6 linked regions of the Rattus norvegicus genome follow. The protein of the gene in region 1 purifies or fractionates together with the protein of each later gene. This does not show direct contact. Links are inferred from orthologs where the notes say so. Each region holds a gene or a part of one and is shown in the gene's direction. Other genes may lie near its edges.

The links.
Region 2: the proteins of Birc2 (region 1) and Htra2 purify together in Homo sapiens (affinity purification with mass spectrometry; 4 studies listed by BioGRID and IntAct, counting the BioPlex papers as one, with this or other methods). This does not show direct contact. The link is inferred for Rattus norvegicus from reciprocal best matches to the Homo sapiens genes BIRC2 and HTRA2.
Region 3: the proteins of Birc2 (region 1) and Tank purify together in Homo sapiens (affinity purification with mass spectrometry; 4 studies listed by BioGRID and IntAct, with this or other methods). This does not show direct contact. The link is inferred for Rattus norvegicus from reciprocal best matches to the Homo sapiens genes BIRC2 and TANK.
Region 4: the proteins of Birc2 (region 1) and Tnfaip3 purify together in Homo sapiens (affinity purification with mass spectrometry; 5 studies listed by BioGRID and IntAct, with this or other methods). This does not show direct contact. The link is inferred for Rattus norvegicus from reciprocal best matches to the Homo sapiens genes BIRC2 and TNFAIP3.
Region 5: the proteins of Birc2 (region 1) and Map3k14 purify together in Homo sapiens (affinity purification with western blotting; 3 studies listed by BioGRID and IntAct, with this or other methods). This does not show direct contact. The link is inferred for Rattus norvegicus from reciprocal best matches to the Homo sapiens genes BIRC2 and MAP3K14.
Region 6: the proteins of Birc2 (region 1) and Bcl10 purify together in Homo sapiens (affinity purification with western blotting; 3 studies listed by BioGRID and IntAct, with this or other methods). This does not show direct contact. The link is inferred for Rattus norvegicus from reciprocal best matches to the Homo sapiens genes BIRC2 and BCL10.

What each region holds. Positions count from the first base shown.
Region 1 is NC_086026.1:13,254,541-13,258,040, reverse strand, and holds part of Birc2 (baculoviral IAP repeat-containing protein 2), read left to right. Parts: intron 1-508; coding exon 509-748; intron 749-2,905; coding exon 2,906-3,160; intron 3,161-3,500. UniProt on the Homo sapiens protein: Multi-functional protein which regulates not only caspases and apoptosis, but also modulates inflammatory signaling and immunity, mitogenic kinase signaling, and cell proliferation, as well as cell invasion and metastasis.
Region 2 is NC_086022.1:117,114,994-117,118,967, reverse strand, and holds the start of Htra2 (serine protease HTRA2, mitochondrial), read left to right. Parts: upstream 1-1,174; 5' UTR 1,175-1,198; coding exon 1,199-1,704; intron 1,705-1,808; coding exon 1,809-2,013; intron 2,014-2,102; coding exon 2,103-2,297; intron 2,298-2,559; coding exon 2,560-2,592; intron 2,593-2,751; exon of another isoform or gene 2,752-2,807; coding exon 2,808-2,913; intron 2,914-3,061; coding exon 3,062-3,131; intron 3,132-3,785; coding exon 3,786-3,881; exon of another isoform or gene 3,882-3,887; intron 3,888-3,974. Other genes in the region: lipid droplet-regulating VLDL assembly factor AUP1, read right to left, coding at 1-130, 354-504, 584-721, 800-849.
Region 3 is NC_086021.1:66,521,598-66,525,636, forward strand, and holds the start of Tank (TRAF family member-associated NF-kappa-B activator), read left to right. Parts: upstream 1-1,239; 5' UTR 1,240-1,395; intron 1,396-4,039.
Region 4 is NC_086019.1:15,528,421-15,531,200, reverse strand, and holds the end of Tnfaip3 (TNF alpha induced protein 3), read left to right. Parts: intron 1-185; coding exon 186-470; 3' UTR 471-2,280; downstream 2,281-2,780. UniProt on the Homo sapiens protein: Ubiquitin-editing enzyme that contains both ubiquitin ligase and deubiquitinase activities.
Region 5 is NC_086028.1:88,667,755-88,670,592, reverse strand, and holds part of Map3k14 (mitogen-activated protein kinase kinase kinase 14), read left to right. Parts: coding exon 1-198; intron 199-299; exon of another isoform or gene 300-359; coding exon 360-466; intron 467-1,083; coding exon 1,084-1,228; intron 1,229-2,838.
Region 6 is NC_086020.1:237,499,931-237,503,980, forward strand, and holds the start of Bcl10 (B-cell lymphoma/leukemia 10), read left to right. Parts: upstream 1-1,250; 5' UTR 1,251-1,375; coding exon 1,376-1,432; intron 1,433-4,050. UniProt on the Homo sapiens protein: Plays a key role in both adaptive and innate immune signaling by bridging CARD domain-containing proteins to immune activation.

The sequences.
Region 1 (3,500 bases):
CCCAACACCTGCATGCAGGCATCTCACAACTGTCTGTAGCTCCAGTTCCAGGGACCCAACACCTTACACATGCAGGTAAAACACTAGTGCCACAGAAGCAAATAAACTATTTTTTAAAAAAGAGGACAACTTTGGGAATTAGTTCTCTTCTTACCCCCTTATGGATTCTGTGAGTTGAACGTAGGCTTGGAGCAAGTGTCTTTACCACTGAGCCATTCCAACAACACTTCAAATTTTTTTAGCAACAGATTCCTAAGCAAATTGCCAAGAGATTTTTTTGTTTTAAGTTTACGGCAGGATGTAGGTACTGTATGAAGTGATTTTTTTTTTTTTTAAGATGCATAGTACACTAATTGTTCAAAGTTCAAATCGTATTGAAATTAATTTAATTGTTGCGCATGGTATGTCTCATTTATTAGGACATGAATAAAAATGGTGCCACAGGCATTATATTTTCCATAGTTTTAAATTTGTGGAGTTTAATAGTAGCAAATTTGTTTACAAACAGTTGTGCATCTGGGCCCTGGAGAGAATTGGGAAGATGCAGTGATGATGAACACACCTGTGGTTAAAGCAGCCTTGGATATGGGCTTCAGTAGGAGCCTGGTGAGACAGACGGTTCAGCGACAGATCCTGGCCACTGGTGAGAACTACAGGACGGTCAGTGATATTGTCTCAGCACTTCTGAATGCTGAAGATGAGAGAAGAGAAGAGGAGAAGGAGAGACAGAGTGAAGAGACGGCATCAGGTAGCATTGGTGGCTGCAGGTTTTCAGTTACCTGTTACGTGCAGCATCCTCACCTCTCACCCATAAATGGCTGCTGATACTCTCCTCCTCTGGACATACCTAAACTGTCTCTTTGCCAAGCTCAGGCTAGCTTCATATTCGGTCTATAGCTAGTGCTGTCCTTGAACATCCCTGAGGTTCCTGCCCCCACCTCCAAAGTGCTGAGGTTACATGTATATGTAACATTACACAGATTTACAATAAACTTCTTTTGAGCTGTATTGCATTTCTTCTGTATACATAACTAAAACTGAAAAAAGCATGACTTAAGGGACTTGAGGGATTGCTCAGTGGTAAAGAGCCCTTGTAAAGGACTTGAGTTTGGTTTCTATTGTCTAAGTAAAGTCCAGTGTCTCACAACTGCCTACAACTCTAGTTCCTGGGGATCTGACCCCCTCTTAAGACCTTTGCATGTACCTGGTACACAAACATACACTCAGGCACATACACATAATTTTTTGTTTTTGTTTTTTAAGCAAGATCTAAAAACTGGTTCAAAGCTGGTTGTAATGGAACATACCTAATTCTTACAATCGTGGCATTCAGGAGAGTAAGACGGGTACTGAGTTTACGGTCAGCCTACATTCCAAAGCAAGAATCTACTTTTTAAATAAAGTTCCTTCAAATTTGGTTTCTAATATGACATTTTACCTAATAATCCTTGGTAGGTGATCCTTACACCAAAAATTTGATTTTAAGATGACATCCTAGGCTGTGGTCCTTTGCCCAACCCAAGGATAATAGACAAATGACTTGGATATTTGTGTAGATTTTATTAAGTCTTAATCTCCTTGAATAAATCTTCCTCTGGGTAATTATATCTTCAACAAATATGCATATATTTAAATATGTAAATAGTAGAAGTAAATAAATGTGAAGTATTGATTATTTTCAAGGAGTATGTAGACTAGCTGGGAATAGTGGTTGCAAAGACAGGATTAGAGGGCCATCGGGAGCCTGCAAGATGGCTTAATGGGGAAAGGTGCTTGCTACACGCTTCCTCTCTCTCTCTCTCTCTCTCTCTCTCTCTCTCTCTCTCTCTCTCACACACACACACACACACACACACACACACTGATTCCTATAAGTTAGGTGCTGTGGCAGGACTGCCTCCCCCAACACACACTAAGGAAAGAAAAAAATTTTTTTTTTTTTTTTTTTTTAAAAAAGAGAGGTCTAGTTGGCTACAGCCTTATTATGTGACCATATCACAAAAAGTTTAAAATTCTAACTTCTGGATTGAGATAGATTTATGTTTCAATCCTGGCCTTTTGGTTAGTAAGTAGGTAGTACATTCAATTAAATTGAAGGTTTCTCATCTCTGAAGTAAAGTAATCTTATGAATAAGCTAGATTCATTTTTAAAAACTATACTATAAATTTAGATTTATAAAATAAAGCTGGCTATGTGTTACATGTGAGGTATTGTGCAGTGTGGTTTATGTGCATTTTATTTAATTCTTTGAGGAAGATGATATTATTCCTATTTCAGATCAGGTGTATATAGCAGGAGGACACATGGCTATTAAGTGGCTAGACTTGCCTGGGAGCCAAGCATAGTCCATCATGTCTTGTAGCTTAAGCTCTTGAGCATTGTAGTTGTATAGAAGGCATGGAGTCTCAGCCTCTAGGCTGAAGATGTAGCTTATTGATAGAGTCCTTGCCTGACATTCACAAACCCTGAGTTCCATTATCAGCACTATGTAAATCGGGCATAGGGGTTCATGTCTGTAATCCTAGCTCTTGGAATGGAGGTAGAGTCAGGATTGGGGGAACATAGGTACATGAGGTCCTGTCTCAATAAATAACAAACCAGAAAGCTCAACTAGTTTAGGATTCTGGGGAAAGAGAAAAAAGAGAGGACACATGGTTTACTACTCTCTAAAATTTTCTGCTTGCTCACAACAATTTGAAGGATTTTTTTTTTAATTGTGTGATATATCGGAGTTTAATCTGTAAGATTAACATGACACTTGATTGCATTGATGTGCAATCAAGTCATTTCTGAGAAGTCCTTCAAGCTCAGCTTAGTGCCTAATTTGTACATAGGGTTGGTTGGGTGTAAGTTGGGGGTGTTTGAAATTTAATGGAACTTTTTCTTGCTTGTTTTTAAATGAAGGTGACTTGTCATTGATTCGGAAGAATAGAATGGCCCTCTTCCAACAGTTGACGTGTGTCATTCCTATCCTGGATGATCTTCTTGAGGCCAGTGTACTTACAAAGGAGGAACATGATATTATCAGACAGAAAACACAGATACCCTTACAAGCAAGAGAGCTCATCGACACCATCTTAGTCAAGGGAAATGCTGCAGCCAGCGTCTTCAAAAACTCTCTGAAGGAAGTCGACTCTACGCTATATGAACACTTATTTGGTGAGTTTATTGGAAAAAATTATTTAGATACCTATAGGGTTTGAGTTGTCTCTCCATTGATAAAGCAGAATAAATCTAGTTTAAACCTGTAATCTTTACATTTTATCTATTTTTTTAAAAAGTGATGTATTTTATTGCCTGGACAGTATTTTTTTTTTTTTTTTTTTTTTTTTTTGGTTCTTTTTTTCGGAGCTGGGGACCAAACCCAGGGCCTTGTGCTTCCTAGGCAAGCGCTCTACCACTGAGCTAAATCCCCAGCCCCGACAGTATTCTTTGTAATATATAGCAAAAAAAAAAAAACAAACAAACAAAAAAAACTATGTAAAAGTAGTAGGTTAAA
Region 2 (3,974 bases), on another chromosome or scaffold:
GCAAAGGTGTGGGTGGAAGCCTCGTGGAAGCACAGAATTTCTTGAGTGACTCCACCAACTCCACCCGCCTATCCATCTCCATGAAGCCCCGAGACCAACATACAAAGCTGGGGGGACTATTGAGTAGAGGCTGAGAGCAGGGAGAAAAAGCAAAAAGAAAAGAATGGAAGGAAATGTCAAAAATAAAGAAAGAAGAGAAGAAAGAGTAAAAAGGTAACACATAGGGTGGCGTTTATGGGACTCGAGGGAGAAGGCTCGGTATTCCCCAAGCAAACCCCAATGGGTAAAGGTGAGCCTTGAGCTTGGGCCTAGGGAGCCACCCGGTGGCGCTCTCGGCCTCGCCCCCCACTCACGGTGCTACAGGTGGTGAGAAGGTTGACTATGTTGTGGTCAAAAGGTGTTACATGGTTGGAAATAAGGACCCTGACGCGGTGATCCCGGAGTCCGGAGTCCTCCTGTCGGGCCACGAGCCCCAGTACCGCACACATGGTTCGTACCACGAACCTGGGGACAGAGGCGGCGGTGACTGTGCGGTCTTGAGCCAGGCCCAGACCAGATGATCCCCAGGCGCCGCAGTCCGCACCTGCGGAGGACGCTGTCAGGAAGAGCACAGCTGACCAGGAAGACGTGGAGCCCGAGGAAGAGTCGCAGAACCAGGAGGCAGAGGCCGACCGGCGCGTAGAGCAATAGCGCGAGCAGCAGGAAGCCGTCACTCGGGAGCCTGTGGCGAGAGGCGACGCGATCAGGCGCCGAAGCCGACGGGACGCGCTGACCGGTCTCTTCCCTCCGCAGCGCTTACCGGTGCGAGTCAAAGAGCCGCTCCGGCCCCGGAGCTGGGGGAGGTTCCATCGCAGCCGCTTCAGGAAAGTGGGGCCGCTGTCGCCGCCATCTTCGCAGGGCCGCGGGGGCTCCTGGGAAGGCGGAGTCTTTGGGCAGCCGCAGGGACGCTAGAACCCGTGGCCCGGAGGCGCCCCGGAAGGGCTAGCGTTCCCAGCATGCCTCGCGGCACGGGGGAAGTGTATGTGTGTGTGTTTGTGTGGGGGCGTGTGTACGGTCTAGAGAGCGCGTCTTTGAAGGGACTACATTTCCCGGCATACACTGTAAGGATACCGGCATGCCTTGCTTCTCCTAGACGGCTTGCTGGGCTCCAGAAGACCGCCTCTGAGTAGGGCGGGCGTGGAGAGCCGAGGCGGAGCAGATGGCTGCGCTGAAGGCGGGGCGGGGTGCAAACTGGAGCCTTCGGGCATGGCGGGCTTTGGGGGGCATCTTCTGGAGGAAGGGCCCCCTGTTAGCCCCTGACCTCCGGGCTCTGCTGACGTCAGGAACTCCTGACCCTCAGGCCCGGATGACTTATGGGACCCCCAGTCTCCCGGCCCGGGTGCCTTTGGGGGTCCTTGCATCACGGGCAAATCTGACGTCTGGGACCCCGGATCTCTGGGTACGACTGACTGTGGGGACTCCAGGCTCTAGTGACCAGGAGGACTGCGGGAGCCCTGGAAGCCGTCGGCGCGAATGGCTAGCGGTGGCGTTGGGCGCAGGGGGTGCAGTGCTGCTGTTGTTGTGGGGTTGGGGGCGGGGTCCTTCCACGGTGCTGGCTGCTGTTCCTGCTCCGCCACCCACCTCTCCCCGGAGCCAGTACAATTTCATCGCAGACGTGGTGGAGAAGACAGCCCCTGCTGTGGTCTATATCGAGATCCTAGACCGGTAATGGTGAAGTTGACCAGGTGGTGTTGAAACCAAATGCCGGAAAGGCAAGGGAACAGGATAGGGTGGAAGCTGCAGTGTAATCGGTGCTTTCCCCATCCCAGGCACCCTTTCTCCGGCCGTGAAGTCCCCATCTCAAACGGTTCAGGATTCATAGTGGCTTCAGATGGGCTCATCGTAACCAACGCCCACGTGGTGGCTGATCGGCGCCGAGTGCGAGTGAGGCTACCTAGCGGAGACACTTATGAGGCCATGGTCACAGCTGTGGATCCTGTAGCAGACATTGCCACATTAAGGATTCAAACCAAGGTGGGAATGGAGTAGGCCAGATCTGATGGCAGCAGTTTACTTCCTTCCGTCTTAAAATGACCAGTTTTGGTGTACTCATTTCCCTTAAGGAGCCTCTTCCCACACTGCCCCTCGGCCGCTCCGCTGATGTCCGGCAAGGGGAGTTTGTTGTTGCCATGGGAAGTCCCTTCGCTCTGCAGAACACCATCACGTCCGGCATTGTCAGCTCTGCTCAGCGACCAGCCAGGGACCTGGGGCTCCCTCAGACCAACGTGGAATACATTCAGACCGATGCAGCTATTGACGTGCGTCCTGAGAGGAGGGAAATTAGGTGCTAGGTGGGAATTGGGGGCAACAGCTGTCAGGTATGATCACCAGCTGACACCAGCTGACACGTGGTGACTGGGCCTGTAGCAGAGGTTGGTCTGCAAAATGCAGCCACTCTAGTTCATGCTAGGAATGGAATTCGAAGTATTTCCCTAACCCTGTTTATGACCACAGTCTTAAAATTCCCAGAGGCATGGAATTCCAGATCTTTTTGATGTTTTCTTTCATTTTATCTCACAGTTTGGAAATTCTGGTGGTCCCCTGGTTAACCTGGTGAGTGCCCATGTTCTAAGAATGCATGCCCCACAGGTCAGTGTGGGAAGTGTGTGTTATCCTCTGATTCAGGGAGTTTTAGCTAAGTCTCTAGCCTCTTGTTCGTCTCCTCATAGTCAGACAGACCCCTGTCCCCAAATCCTTGCTACTCTTGTTCAGGTGCCCCCATCCTCTGCCATCTGTGTGGGCTAGGGGATGGGGCTGTGTCCCTGCAGGATGGGGAGGTGATTGGAGTGAACACCATGAAGGTGACAGCTGGAATCTCCTTTGCCATCCCTTCTGATCGCCTTAGGGAGTTCCTGCATCGCGGGGAGAAGAAAAGTGAGCCTGTCTTACAGGGAAAGGGATTCCTTTAAAATGGAGGAGGGGACCCAAGGGAGGGGCATTCATCAGGACTTGGTGTAGAGGGGTCTAACTGGTAGGAAGTAAGGGAAAGAATGAAGCTGGTGGGCTCATGTTCTCTTTACAGATTCCTGGTTTGGAATCAGTGGGTCCCAACGCCGCTACATTGGAGTGATGATGCTGACTCTGACCCCCAGGTATACATATATATAGGACCCATGTTCTCAGTGGTGCACCTCTTGGCTTTTGCTCCTATGTTTGTCTTTAATATTAGCTGTTGTCTCTGTCACAGAGCTGCTCCCTCTCATCATAACTTTCTCACCTATGCATCTCGTACCCTTCAGTAGACTGAGTACATCCTGTTATTACCATAATGTAAAGCCTCCATTGCCCTAGCATTGAGGAACGATCTCTCCCACCTCTAGTTATCCTTCTAGACAGCTCATCATTTCCTCAGAGTGACTTTGACTTTCCACTTCTATGTCTCAACTTTATTTCATACAGTTGTAGGGCCCACCCTTCTAGGCTTAGCTTAAGTTCTACCCCTTCCTTACCGTAGAATTTCAGAGTGACAGAAGTGAAGTTGATTCAACACTGTGTATCTTTTGAAATTAGCTGTCTTTTTTTTTTTTTTTTTTTTTTGGTTCTTTTTTTTTTTTTCGGAGCTGGGGACCGAACCCAGGGCCTTGCGCTTCCTAGGTAAGCGCTCTACCACTGAGCTAAATCCCCAGCCCCAGTTAGCTGTCTTTTATGTGTGTATCCTACTTCCTAAGCTCTAGAAGGCAGAAAGTGAACTGTCAAGATGGGAGAGGGCCTGTGTGTTGCTAACAGAGTGGTCTGTACCCTTCCAGCATCCTTGCTGAGCTACAGCTCCGAGAGCCAAGTTTCCCTGATGTTCAGCATGGTGTCCTCATTCATAAAGTTATCCTGGGCTCCCCTGCACACAGGTGATGTGGCGCCTGCTCGGTGGGGTGGGTTGGGTGGGGTGGGGTGGTGTGGATGTATCCTTGAACTCAGCTGTCCACTCCTTCCTTGCCCTG
Region 3 (4,039 bases), on another chromosome or scaffold:
TGTTTCACTTCGTTGTATTTACTTTGTAAGATTTTAGTTTCCCGTTGCACGAAAGCATGTTTAGTATTTGATATTCCTCGGTGAGAGTGTGACAAGCACATAGAGCTGGAAGAAAACAAACGCTTCGCTGCGTATTTTACGAGCACATAGAAGAGTTTTTAAGCACATGCTTATTCAGCACTTTAGAAACTTAAAAAAAAATATTTTTGGGGAAGGAATAATTCCACCATATGCAGCATTATCTCTGATGTGTTTAAGATGCAATTTTAAGAGACAATAGTGCTTTAAAGTAGTAAAGGGACTAGACTATGAATCGGAAATTGGAAATTTTAGTTTCCATTAACTGGAGTTTTGGGAGATGCCTCCGCACACTTACGCGGGAACTCAGCAGGGAGACTACCCCCAGGACTCAATCTTGTTCCGACTCCTGAACTTGCTGTGAAGGAGCACAGTACAGTACGTATGAATTGCACCTGGAGACAGACCACTCCAAGTGCCCATTGCTTCTAACTTTGTGACATTGCGCACTCTCCCTCCTCTGTTTAATCATCTGCAATAAGGGGAAATGGAACAGATCGTGTCTAAGGACATTTCCATTTTTATAACAAAGAAAAATGTCCAGATATTGCTGTCTTCCATTTACATGTAAAGCCCACAGTTTAGTTCCATGCGGTCCGAGAGAAACACTCCCCCAGGGTGTGGGAACACGTGCTCAACTGTGTCAACAGTGACCTGCGTGTCAAACTAGAAATCCTGTCTAAAGAATCCTTTTTTGCTTTATTTTTCTTCCTAGTACTTACAGTCTCATTCTGGAATCTTAAGATACACCTTATTATTATTATTTTTTCTCTCTAGGCTTCATCCAACCGACCTTTGTAAGTCAGAAAGCAAAGAAAAATATACTTAAATTTAGGTTTTGCCTGTTATTTATAAATTTGATTTGGGGTCAAATGTGACTCCTTAAAGGCTAAAATGGCAATTTTTTTCAAATAAGCTTACTTTTGAAACGTTTTACATGAAAAACACTTCTTCCAAATTAAACTTTCATGTTTGTAATTTCTAGATTTTTTTTAAATGTCTTAACTATTCAGGTGAAATATCATTGCTTCAAAAGGAAGTCAGAGTTAGAGTCACGGGTGGTTTCAGAACATTTTCTGGTAGTTTTTGCTTCATTTCAATATTTTGCCATGATTGGCTGTTGATAGCTACAAATAAGGAAGTCTTCAAGTCAGGGGATTTCTCAGTGGAAGTCCCCAGTTCCTTCCACACAAGGGAGAGCTCAGGACAGTTTGGGCAGCATCTGGTAGAGCCTGTGCAAACGGTTTCCAGAATGTGTCCGTGCCTGTCTTTAAAGAGACACAGTCAGTGAAGGAAAACTTGTCACCTGGAGAAGAGGTAATCAACTCTTACTAATTTCTTTCGATTCTTAGCTTAGTAAGGAGGTTGGGGTGCCTTAAGTGTGGTAAGATCTACTCCACTCCGGCACCAGCCAACTAGGCGGTCCCAGGCACGAGTCAGCGATGCCTTTTGGCATCGTCGTCAGAATTAGAGGGATCCAAACAGTCTTTAAAGCACTGTGACTCTTTTACTCTTTGCCTAATTTTTAAGATAGAATGGGTTATGTCTTTAATTGAAATGAGTTTTAAAAGTCTTTATCTGATATGTGAGTCTTCTCAAGAAGTGATATACATGTGTGTGTGTGTATGATGTGTGTGTGTGTATGTATGTATGTATGTATGTATGTATGTATGTATTGTGAGACTGAGAGATATTTGGCCCAAGTTAGGTTACATAAAGCTTACTATGTCGAAAGTAAATTAAAAGTATATATAGTCCTACTTTTTGCTTATATTTAAGAAAAATCAATTCCAGCCTGATCGAATGTGTCTTTCTAAATGCCAAACTAGCATTAGTACTTTTACTCTCATAAGAACTATGTAATAATGAACATGTATGACATCAAGTATTAGCTTTACAAGCTATTCTAATTACAGTAATCAAAGCTTATGCTGTTTCCAACAGACCCTTTTATTTCCATCACCACAATTAAAATTGAAGATCACATCACATTATTTTCTCAAGGACAATTTCAAACTAAATATCAAGAACTCTTTTCAGTGTTGTTGTATTAAATAGTTTCTAGACACTCAATAAGAGTGTCTGCTAAAAGAAAAGGATCACATGTTTTCAGTGGTATAGTCAGACAAGACTTACTTAAATAAAAAGTCATACCATTTCATTTTACCTGGCTTTTTATCACTAACCCACCTGTCTTCTTACGATACTGAAACTGTGTTTGAGATGTTTTACCCAAGCTGGAGTAGGATGGGGAAGAGAGAAAACAAATTCATCTGAGTTACAGAATAATCACGTCATCACTGGAAACCGTCTCCCTTCTCACTCGTCCTCTGCCATCGCTAGGGTTACAGTTCCGTGAGTGTACATAGCAAGAAATACTAGTCTGCCTCTGGGAATGTGGAACTCTGTATCAGCTCAACACACTCAAAACGTATGCCCAGAAGCCAACTGGGGTTCTAGAGAAATGTCCAGTTATTTCTCTTAAACGTTTGTGATTTATGGTTACCAAGATGACTCAAAACAACTGTTAAATTCCCCTGGGGAAAAAATTCTGGTTGGAATTTTAGAAATGTGTCCGTGCCATTTAAAACCTTCCTGTCTGTGAACATCCTGTCTTTCTATGCATTGAGGATGGGACTCCGGTAAACATATGGAGTCCTTTGCATTATACATTATACATATAAATTGTAGAACGTGTTCCAGGCTAGTTTGCTTTGTCCCTTTCTGATGTGTGCACTAGGGGAATTATCTGTGTAAGGATCTTCTTTCTGGTGTGTTTTAACTACTGCTAACATCTTGATCTCATAATTTTATGTAGTCATTTTATTGATCTCTAATTTTTTCTAAATTATATAATTCACATGACCTTTTCAGATTAAAAAGAAAAATATGTGGACTTGCTTCCTCCTTCCCATCCTTCAGCATAGCAGCTAGAATTTCTGGATCAGGGCTTCATAACACAGGAAAAAGCAGTCGACTGTTACATTTCTGATCTCAGAGGAATTTCCCTAGTGGTTAATATGAAGAATGAGATTGGCTATTGGTTTGAGGTAAAAGCTTTCATGATTAAAAAAAGAAGCCCAAATAATTACCAATATCCTGATTTATTAGGGGTACATTTAATAGGCAATATCAAAGTTTCATGTTTAAAAAAATCCAATGTCTTTGATAACTTTAGAGACAACTGTGTGAGTTTGGCATTTCAAACGAGGCAGCAATCTGCCGTTTTAAAAGACTTCGAAGAAAACAGGTTGCCCTTGTGTTTCCCTGACAGAGCTGATTTTATAGTTAGAAACTGTACTCCATTGTTTCTCAGATTAAAATAATAAACTGGTTGATCAAACCGAGCCTACACATTTCCTATTTCTCTTCCATCCACATGCTTAGACGCCTCTCTCCTATCATTTTGGCTTCATATCCAGTTTACAGCTCAAACTACCAGGAAAGAATGAAAACAGTGTGGTGGAAGCCAAGGAGCCCTATCTAGGGCGAGCACCCAGAGTTACAAAAAAGCAGCTGTTCGTACGCTCCCTGCAAACAGCTTTCGAACATTACATCCAAAGAGGGTCTGCAAAATGTGTGTCCAAATTGGTTAGCATAAATGCAGTTTACATTAAGGAAGTGTATACCGAAAAGCAAACGTTTGTGGTTTGCTGAGAATTTTTGCATTCATAGACAGAAGGCAAATTTCATCCAGATTTTCATCTCATGGCACCTATCAGTAAGGAATTTGTCTACCAAAGTTTCCTTTCAGAAAGTAAAACAAGGAAAAGGCCAAAACACTTCAAATTCTAACAAGTTTCATGCATGTGGTCTGTTCCCTGAAACGTTTAAGGAATAAACCCAGAGCATCGACCTCGGCATCCCAGCCCCAACAGATAGTTCATTAAAACATTTTCCCAGTATTTTCTACTGTTGTTGATCAGAGCAAATTTAATGCCCCCCTTTTTACATAGTTTAG
Region 4 (2,780 bases), on another chromosome or scaffold:
TGGGATTGGCGGTCCTCAGTTACACATACACTTCTCCCACTCAGGCAGATCGAACACTCGGTAGAATCCACCCTGTTAATTTGAAGTCCCTCTGGTCTCCTGAGAAATGTAACACCTCTCTCTCTCTCTCTCTCTCTCTCTCTCTCTCTCTCTCTCTCTCTCTCTCTCTCTCTCTTCCCACTCAGAGATCAAGCCAGCGTAGAGAAATGCCTCGAACCACACAGGGAGCCTCAAGGCCGAAGTGTGCCCGGGCCTCTTGCAAGAACATCCTGGCTTGTCGCAGTGAGGAACTCTGTATGGAGTGCCAGCACCTAAGCCAGCGAATAGCTTCTTTGGCCCACCGGGGTGAGCCCACTCCTGAAGAGCCCCCTAAGCAGCGCTGCCGGGCCCCTGCTTGCGATCACTTTGGCAATGCCAAGTGTAATGGTTACTGCAATGAGTGCTACCAGTTCAAGCAGATGTACGGCTAAGTGCGGACACATTGATTGGTCCCGGAAGAAGGGGGCCTCAAACTGCCAGCCAGAGTGGTGCTGTCGTCCAGACCCCTGAGTGCCACGGGAAGGGTGGGCCCTGGGACAGTGGCTTCAAGTGTCTTTGAGCAAAGTAGACCAGATAAGCTCTTCCCTCATCATGGCCATGGCCGTCCGGTTGGTAACCAAGACTGTGTCCTGGTGGGCTGAGAGTAGACCTGGTTACCGGCAGTGCATGAGGTCGGGTTCAGTCTGAAGCTGTCGCTGCTCCACCTACCAGGAGGCTGGGGAGATCTTCAATGCAAGCGAAGACTGGCAGCGGTTCCTGAGCCTGGCTGCCAGGAAACAGGAAGAAAGGAAGGTGGGCTGGCGACTGGGACTATCCTGCTGTCCCCTGGAAGCTTTTCTCGGAGAGCCAAAGCTAAATTCCAGAGCACCGAGGCCCTCCTCCGCAAGATGCTAGGGGAAGCTCAGGGAAAACGGACATCGGCAGAGCGCATCTGTGGCCACTGGGCTTCCCTACCTGCCAACATGGCTCCCAAGGTTCTGCAGGAAAACAGAGCCACACACAGACTGTGATCCTGAGGCTGCTGCTGAAATGAGACATGTGCACATGGAGACACAACGAGCTGCTCTTGACTGTATGCACCTTCTAGACAGTAGACCGTCTTAGTGGGAAGACAAACCAGCGTTGGTCATTGTTGTCCTCCAGTCCGAAGAGAGTAGTTTGGACTGAGGTGTGTATCAGAGTGTGTACAAATGTAATATACCCTTATATTATGTATGAGGGATTTTTAAGACATTGAAATGGTGCCCTAGAGGTAGACTGAATAATAATAACCTATTTTCTGGTTGTTGTCAGGTTGCCCCTGACAGCTTGTTATGTGAATTCAACAAGCTGCCTTCTTAAAGGGAGCCTTCATTCTGCCTTATTTATTTTGAACTTCAGAATTATTTAAATGAAGAGTCCCTTCCACAGTATTCTCTTGAAATAACATATTTGCTTTTCACCATGTCCCGGGAACCCGGCGAGTTCCTGGCCCCAGAGTGTGGTGGGGTGATTGTCTTCTCTCTACTTGTTGCCTCCCTAGGAAAGAAGGGGTTGCTTTCTGAACAAAGCCTGTAGAATCTGATGCTTCTTATGACTCCCTGGCTGCACAAGAAGAAAACGTTCTGTCTTCCATAGATGTTTCTAAGTATCCTACCTCTTTGAAGAAAAATAGGAATGGAGTGAGGTGACAGTGGGACAGGACACAGAAATATGTGTCCTTTCACGACCTTTGCTTACTATGTAAATGCTGTGCCCCTTGGGTACCGGATCGGAACATTGAGATAGCAAAGCCAGTAGCCATGAGGATGAGGAGGTTTCTGCCATTGGCTCGCAGCTTCTCTGTGTGCTTTGGACTTGCGCAGGAGGGAAATGCAGCTGTGCAGGGGTCAAGGCTGACATCTGGGGTCTGGCCCAGCACCTGACGATACTTGTGATGTCGAGCTCTACCTAGCCTTTTCTCTTCATATCTGCTGCGTGTCCTTCCCTGACGTACATCTTTGTCCTTCTTCCCCAAAGATGTCAAATACAATGCATCTTCATCTAGTTCTTTCAGAGTTAATAGCCTATTATTTTGTGTTTATTTGATATTTTCATTGTTAATGTGAAATCATGAAATTATTTATACTTATTATAGAAAGTATGTGAAATTTGCACAGTTGTCTTTCAAAGTATGGGGTCTACCTTTTTCGGACTTCAGATTACCTTGAACTGTAACTTCACAAAAGTCAATATTAAAAGAATAAATTATTTAAGAACAAATTCCAATGCCTTCTGTTAATGAGTTGTTGGAAGAAGATGGGCTCAGATGTGAAGATTTTGATGTATACGGGGCCATGGGTGGGCCTCTTATCCATGGAAAGGATGATAGCTTCTGAAAAATAATCAGAGGGTTGGGGAGACAGCTCAGTCCATAAGTGCTTGTTACATAAGCATGGGGCACTGAGTTCAACAGATGCATGCATATAGTTGCATATGTATGCACATACAGGAATGCACATGAACACACACATGAATCAGTGCATAAGAATAAGGCCATGTATGTACTCAAGCACAGTCCTTGGGTTTAAAATCAATGACACGGAAGCCAGATGGATGTGGGAAAGCTTCTCCCTCTACACCTCTCCAGAGATCATACGAGGTCTCTAGCGACTCCTGCTGGGGCATTTAGGAGGGAGAGACGTGAACCCAGTGGGAAAAGGAAGCATTTTCCTCTGCTTATCTCTTACACAGTAATTGCTAGTCCAGGGTTCTGTGATCAT
Region 5 (2,838 bases), on another chromosome or scaffold:
CCCCTGAGCGTCAGCCTCCTCTGCCGCCTGAACCACCGGAACCGAACAAAGCACCAGCCCTGAACCTGAGCAAGGAGGAGTCTGGCACCTGGGAACCCCTGCCTCTGTCCTCCCTGGACCCAGCCCCTGCCAAAGGCCCCAGCTTGCCAGACCGGAGGGCAACCTTCCCGGAGCTGGAGCTACAACAGCTGGAGATAGGTAGGTGCTCAGCTGTGGCCATGCCCCCTGCCCCAGCTCCACCCCCGGTCCCCCTCCCCCACCCCTCGCCGCCCAGCTCCTGCAGGCTATGCAGTGGGTACCTTGGGAACCTGGTTCCTCCTCCAGCCCTTCACTGTCTTCCTCTCCCCGCTCCCCTACAGAACTGTTCCTAAACAGCCTGTCCCAGCCGTTTTCTCTGGAGGAACAGGAACAGATTCTCTCCTGCCTCAGCATCGACAGCCTCTCACTGTCAGAGGACAGTGAAAAGGTGAGCTTGGGCCAGGGGGTTGTGCGAGCCTTAGACAGGGCAAGGGCGATGAGGTCACCCTGAGGTGGAAACTTGAAGGCTCTTTGGAGAGTCAGTTGAGTGTTGGGTGGTGTTTTGCTGGGGCAAACATGTGAAGGAATGTTTTCCTGAAGTGGACACAGGTGAAAGACTAAGGCAGATTCCTGAAGGAAAGTTTGGTAGAAGCAGACACGGGTGAAAGGTTGTCCTTGCTAAAGCAAGCATATAAGAAGGCCCGTGATAAAAGTGTTTTTTGTTTTTTGTTTTTTTTTTTTTTACTGATAACATACATATATTGGTCTGCCTCATATTACATAGTTGAGCTACATTTGTTGAGACTCTATAGAGAGAAACACACCATCATCCTCCTTGCTTGTGCCCCAAACTGAGACAGGCTGCCTCTGACACACTCAGGAATCAGAAAAGGCTTTAGGTAGTATGGAGAGTGGGAGGTAGCTTTGGTCCCTCATAGAAATGTACCTTCCCAGTCTATGGTGGGGCTGGCAGGTCTGACCCTAAGAGAGGTTCAGATCCTTTTGTCCCAAAGGAAACCAAGGCCAGAGACAGTTTCCTGAGTCTGTGCCTGGTCTTGTGTTCAGAACCCATCTAAGGCCTCTCAGAGCTCACGTGATACCCTGAGTTCCGGCGTGCACTCTTGGAGCAGCCAAGCAGAGGCCAGAAGCTCCAGCTGCAGCATGGCGCTGGCCCGGGGACGGCCCACTGACATCCCGAGCTACTTCAACGGTATGGTCTGCTTCCCCCCTCTTCCAGGCCATTCCTGCCAGTAGCCAGAGAGAGGCCGAGAGACAGTTCATTGGCCTCTCCTCCACACAGAAGGGTGGGGAGAAATGTGCTAGCCATCTAGAACTTCACACTCCTCCTGGAAAGTTGGTTTTAGACAGAGAGCCCTCACCACTCACTCACAAGGGTTCCCAGAATGGAGAACCGTTGTTCCTCCGTTGGCTACCTATAGAGTCACAGAAGGCCAACCATGTGGGGAGGAAAATGGCCAATCCTGTGCTAGGGCCAGAAGCTGAATGCTTAATGCCTATTGATGGGGAAGATCGGAACGTACCCAGGAGCAGTTTAATCAAGAAGCCAGCAACAAGTCTGTTGGCATCATTGGCCGGGATGTGAAGGCAGAAGATGAGAGGGCATTCAAATGCCTTCCTTGCAGCTTCGCTCCCCAGTCAGGTTAGGATTTCACAGGTACCAGCTCTCCCCAGACCAATGTGAGTAGCTGCCAGGCTCCAAGGCCATGCCAAAGGCCACTTCAGCTCAGAGACACTCTGAAGTTGCCTACAGTCTAATTTAAGAATGTTGGAGAGAGCGGAAGCGTGATGAGCTTGCTTCCTGTCTGAACTAAAATTGGGATGTTATGACTCAAGGCAACTAATGCTCAAAACTCAACAGAAATGGCACGGGCTAAGGTTGGGTGGCATTATTTAAGAAAAAAACGTTTACTGAGTCAGGATGCGTAGCCTAACTCGTCTGTTACATCTTTAGATTTTTCTCTCCTATATTTAAAAAAGAAAGTCTCTCTTGGATCTTGGATTTTCTGGAATTGGCTTGTTACTTTAAAAATATTTGATTGTGCCCAAAGTTGTCATGAAGGGACTCACAAGGGCGTAGACGATACTTAGGGATAGGGCGGCTGTCTGACATCCTTGACTCTGTCTGAAGAAAATGGGGATTGGAAGCCTTCTATTCCATCCAGGCTTAGAGGCGCACACCTTTAATCTCAACACTCAAGAGGCAGAGGCAAGCCGATCTCTGTCAGTTCAAGCTAGCCTGGCCTGCAGAGTTCCAGGACAGCCAGGACTACACAGAGAAACCTTTCCTTGAGGAAGTGGGGGAAAGGAAGTCTTTCATCTCCATGCGTAGATGAGACACTGCATCCCTCTCTTTAGAGGGTTTTAAATGGAATTTGGGGAACTAGAATTGCACACAATTCATTATATTGTTTATCCATTTTACCACAAAAACTTGGAGTAGTCAGGACATTAACCAAACTCTGAAATCAAGTTTGAAATGACAGTCACTTGTCACCCCTCATAAAGTAGAGGGGTTTACAGAGATGTTCGGTTGTTGCCATTTTTAGGAAAATTAATATTAATGCATCGTCTTCTTTTCGGCTGTGATGCTGAACAGGGCCTTTGTGCGTGCAGGGCAAGTGGTCCACCGCTGAGAGGACACCACCAGCCCTGAATGTGTCACACTAAAAAAGGAAGTTAGTCTGTGTCCTTTGGGTTTGTAGAAGACTTTAAAATAGCTACATGTTATCACGTGTGCCTCAGTTGACTGAACTAAACCAGGAGAAAAAGATAGCCAAGCAGTGGTGGATGGCACATGCC
Region 6 (4,050 bases), on another chromosome or scaffold:
AGTACTTGAACAGACACTTGCTACAGGAAAGAGCAAATGATTAAGCAAATTGGGTTATAGCAAGATGCAGGATGACTAAGGGCACAGAAAAACTCTAGTAAACTAGACATCAGTGTGAAAAAACACCTGGTATAATGTGAATACCAGGATTCCAGGGCTCTGAGCAGAGCTATGGAGATGTGGCTCTATGCCTCTTGTGGTTCTTTGATTTTAGATAGATTCCTGTTACCTTTGGTCGTCTTGTCATTTCAATCTGTGCTTGTAGATTTACCGCATTGGTCACATAATCGTTTTCTGCCCAGGACTCTATGTGGAGCTCCTTATCCACTATGTGCCGCACAAGCTACGAGTTAAAATACCATTCTGAAAATAGCCATTTGGCCTCCAAAAAGATAACTTCCCCATCACGACATACCTAGCACTTACAGTGATAAAGGCTAACAGTAAACGAGAGTGCAACTGTGCACCGAGTAGCTTCAGAGCCTTAAATATGCTCCTAGAGACCCTAGAAGCTTTTTAAATGTATCTTTATTGCATAGATTAATACGGAGAAATGTTCCTAACGAATAGAGACTTAAAAGTACCTGAACACTACCTCTGCTGCTAAATTGATGGGATTGCAGTTAATTATTAAATCTTAAACACCTTTTTCGTTTTTTTATTGTGTTTTGTTATTTTGTTTTCTGCACTCAATATCTTCTTGTTTCTGTCTCCCAAGTTCTAGGTGGCAAATGGCAGTAGGCCCCGGACCAGGCTTTCAAACATTTCAATACTGGTTATATTATGTTATATATTATACATTTGTGTATGATCAAGCAATTGTAAAACCTGGCCCAGCACAACAGGAAATTGTTCCGCAACAGAGGGAGAAGCAAACCAAAATGCCCTGGCCTACTCAGCCCACACTCTACCCAAAAGAGGAGTCTGCGAGGGCGGGGAGATCCCGCTACACTGAGCGGCCAACGCCCCGCCCACGGAAACGAATCCTTCTCTTGGGGCCAATCCGCAATCCTAGTAAATAACAAGCGGGCGTAGTTAGAGGCAAGGCTGCTGTGGGCGGAGCCACTTCGGAAGAAGGGACGAAACCTAGGGCTAGTAATGATTGGCTGGCACGGAAGTGGGCGGGGCCTGCAGGTAGACCCGCCTCGCCGAAGGGTGGTGCCTAAGTTAGGATGGACTCTGAGTGCGGCGCCGCAGGCCCCGGAGGCGGAGCCGGAAGTGGGGCGTTGAGGTCTCCTCCTCCGCGTTCCGTGAACCGGCGGTTCCCCCGCTTCTGTTCCTAGTCCTCCCAAGTCACAGCCCGATTCCCGGAGGCCCGAGCCCTTAGCCAGGGCGGGGTGGCGCGGGCCGAAAGGACGCCATCCCGGCCTCGGCCATGGAGGCTCCCGCGCCGTCTCTCACGGAGGAGGACTTAACTGAAGTGAAGAAGGACGTGAGTAGCTCCGCCGGGCTGGACGCAGCGGGGCGGGCGGGGGCGGAGGAAAGCGGAAACCCAGAGCCGAGCGACGGGGAACCTCAGGTCGGAAGAGCGCCAGGTCCCGGCACAGCACGACCCGCCTGCTTCCCCGGAGCTGGCTTCAAATGATCCACCAGAGACCTGGGAGTCCACGGTTAAACCTGTCAACGCCGGCTTGGGTTTATCTTTGCTATCGGCTTCTCGCTGGTGGCTTTCCATCCTGTTGATCCCCGACTCCATCCCATCCCCGAGGGAGCTGCTAGGCTAGGGAGCGGTCCGAATCTGTCCACAGCGGGCTCTGGACCAGGTATGCCCCAGGCATAGAGCAGATAGGTGAAACTCTATACGGGGGGCTGCGGAAAGCTCGCCCTTTGAAAGGACGCCCTGGAATTCCCCTAGTAATCAGACGCCCACATATTTAAATGAAGGGGATGTGCTTACTTCTCGCTGAGACTTGACTCTCTCAGGTAAACGTTGAAAATAGTCATAGCTAAATTGGACTCTCCTGCTTAGACCACGTAGAACTTCGCATACACATTAATATTTGAGAATATGGCTTTAAACACAACGTGCTTCGTTTTTCATTCCCTTTAATTACTTATTTTGCCAGGAAAAAAAATCAAATGAGTACCATTTACATGATATATATGGATTCACTTTAAAAACAGTAATTTGTTCGTACCTAGCACCGCAGTGCTGGTGAAAAGTCGTCTTTTCGAACTTGACTGCAAGTTGTTGCAGATGTCCGCGTGCTTCTGATCTCTTTTTCTACTATACCTTACCCCTTGTAAAGGTTTATTGCACTGTACCCAACCCATAATTACAGCTGGACTAGCTCAGTACCAGAAGGAAAAGGTCCAACTGGCATTACTGCCATCGTTTCCGTGTTCAGGGGAATTGGTAGGGCACTTACTGTATGGGAAACTTTACATTTCTACTTGAGACTAGGTCTTTGATAACCACTCCGGCCTTAAGATGCCAGTAAAACCGTAACCTTAAAATATGGTAGCTGCGGTCTCCGTTGTCGGACACAGTTTTGAATTTTCTCACAATCATTAAGGGAGAGAATTGCTTTTCATTTTGTAGCTGGCAAAACAAGCCAAGACCTGAGTATAGATAGAAGAGTGCTGCAGACCTTTGTTTCTGCCCATCGACGTCTATCCATTCTGACAGTTTCAGGTCAGACCTGTATCAGCTGTCCATAACCTTAGAGAAACTTTAGATACACCTTAGGATGTCTATAAAAACAGTTTTCTTAGGTAGTTACCCAGTTATTTTTTAAACTGCTTATAACAAGCTTAAAAATTTATCCGCAGTTCTTGAACTTCCTTTTTTCTCAACTCCAGGCCTTTATTTCTACCAGAACCAAGCTATAACATCATACATTTGGTTGTTGTTTTTCTGTGTAACTCTGGCTGTCCTGGAACTCATTCTGTAGACGAAGCTGGCCTCAACTTGGAGATCTTCCTTCCTCTGCCTCCCAAGTGTTGGGATTAAAGGCATAGCCACCACTGCTTGCCATGTTCTTTTATTTTCAGAACTGGAACTTTTCGTTATCCTTCCCCCAAAACTGCTTGGTGTTCCTTCTGTGTTATCTGCTTGGATAAATGGTGGGAAGTTGTTTCCATGGGGCTCTGTCTGACTCAGGGTTTGCTTTCTTTGGCTTCTGTTGCCTGTGGGTCAGCCATAGTCCAAAAATACTTAATGGGAATTTGCTACATTTATAGTGTTACAGATTGAGCACCATGATAAAATCCTGGCCAGGGGCATGAGTTGCACCTTTTCCCCAGTACTGTGTGTCACCTGCCTGTTAGTCTCTTCATAGCTAGCTGTGTGGGTTATTACATTGGTTTTGATGGAGGAGAGCTTGGGATGGGGTTGGTACTGTGAAGTTTTGCACATCCATTGAGAATCTTGGTCCATGTCCTCCCATGCTAGCTGGGAGCGAGTCTTCAGTGCTCCTCCCCTTCTTCATGTTTATTTAACATGCCCCTATTTTGGTTGAATTTGTTCCATTTTAACAAATAGAGATAACTTTATATTCTGAGTTGATAATGTAACAGTTAAACTAAGAACTAAGGGACTAGAGAGATGGCTTAGCAGTTAAGAGCACTGACTGCTCTTCCAGAGGTTCTGAGTTCGATGCTCACAACCATCTGTAATGGGATCCAATGCCCTCTTCTGGTGTGTCTGAAGACAGCCACAGTGTGCTCACATAAATAAATAAATCTCTAAAAAAAAAAAAAGCTCAATTTCTTGAATGAAGGAAAATAGCCATAAAATAATAACTTTAAAATAGTATATTAAAATTTTCATTCATCTAAAGCACTGTACTTTGAAATGCAGAGTATACAGCAGTAAACAGAACGTCCGTGCTGTTTACCTGCTTCAAACATACAGGTGGTGAAAGCTGAAAAGGATGTCTGTCATTTACACAAGCACATTTGTAAGTTCACTCGGAGCTACGAAGACAAGCACCAGGGCAGTCATTGTACATGCAATTCGATCCTCAGGTGTGCTTGATTGATTCTTAAAGGTTCTAATAGAGAACCTGGGAGAAGAGCATTTGATACAGAGAATTTGACAAGGACCTA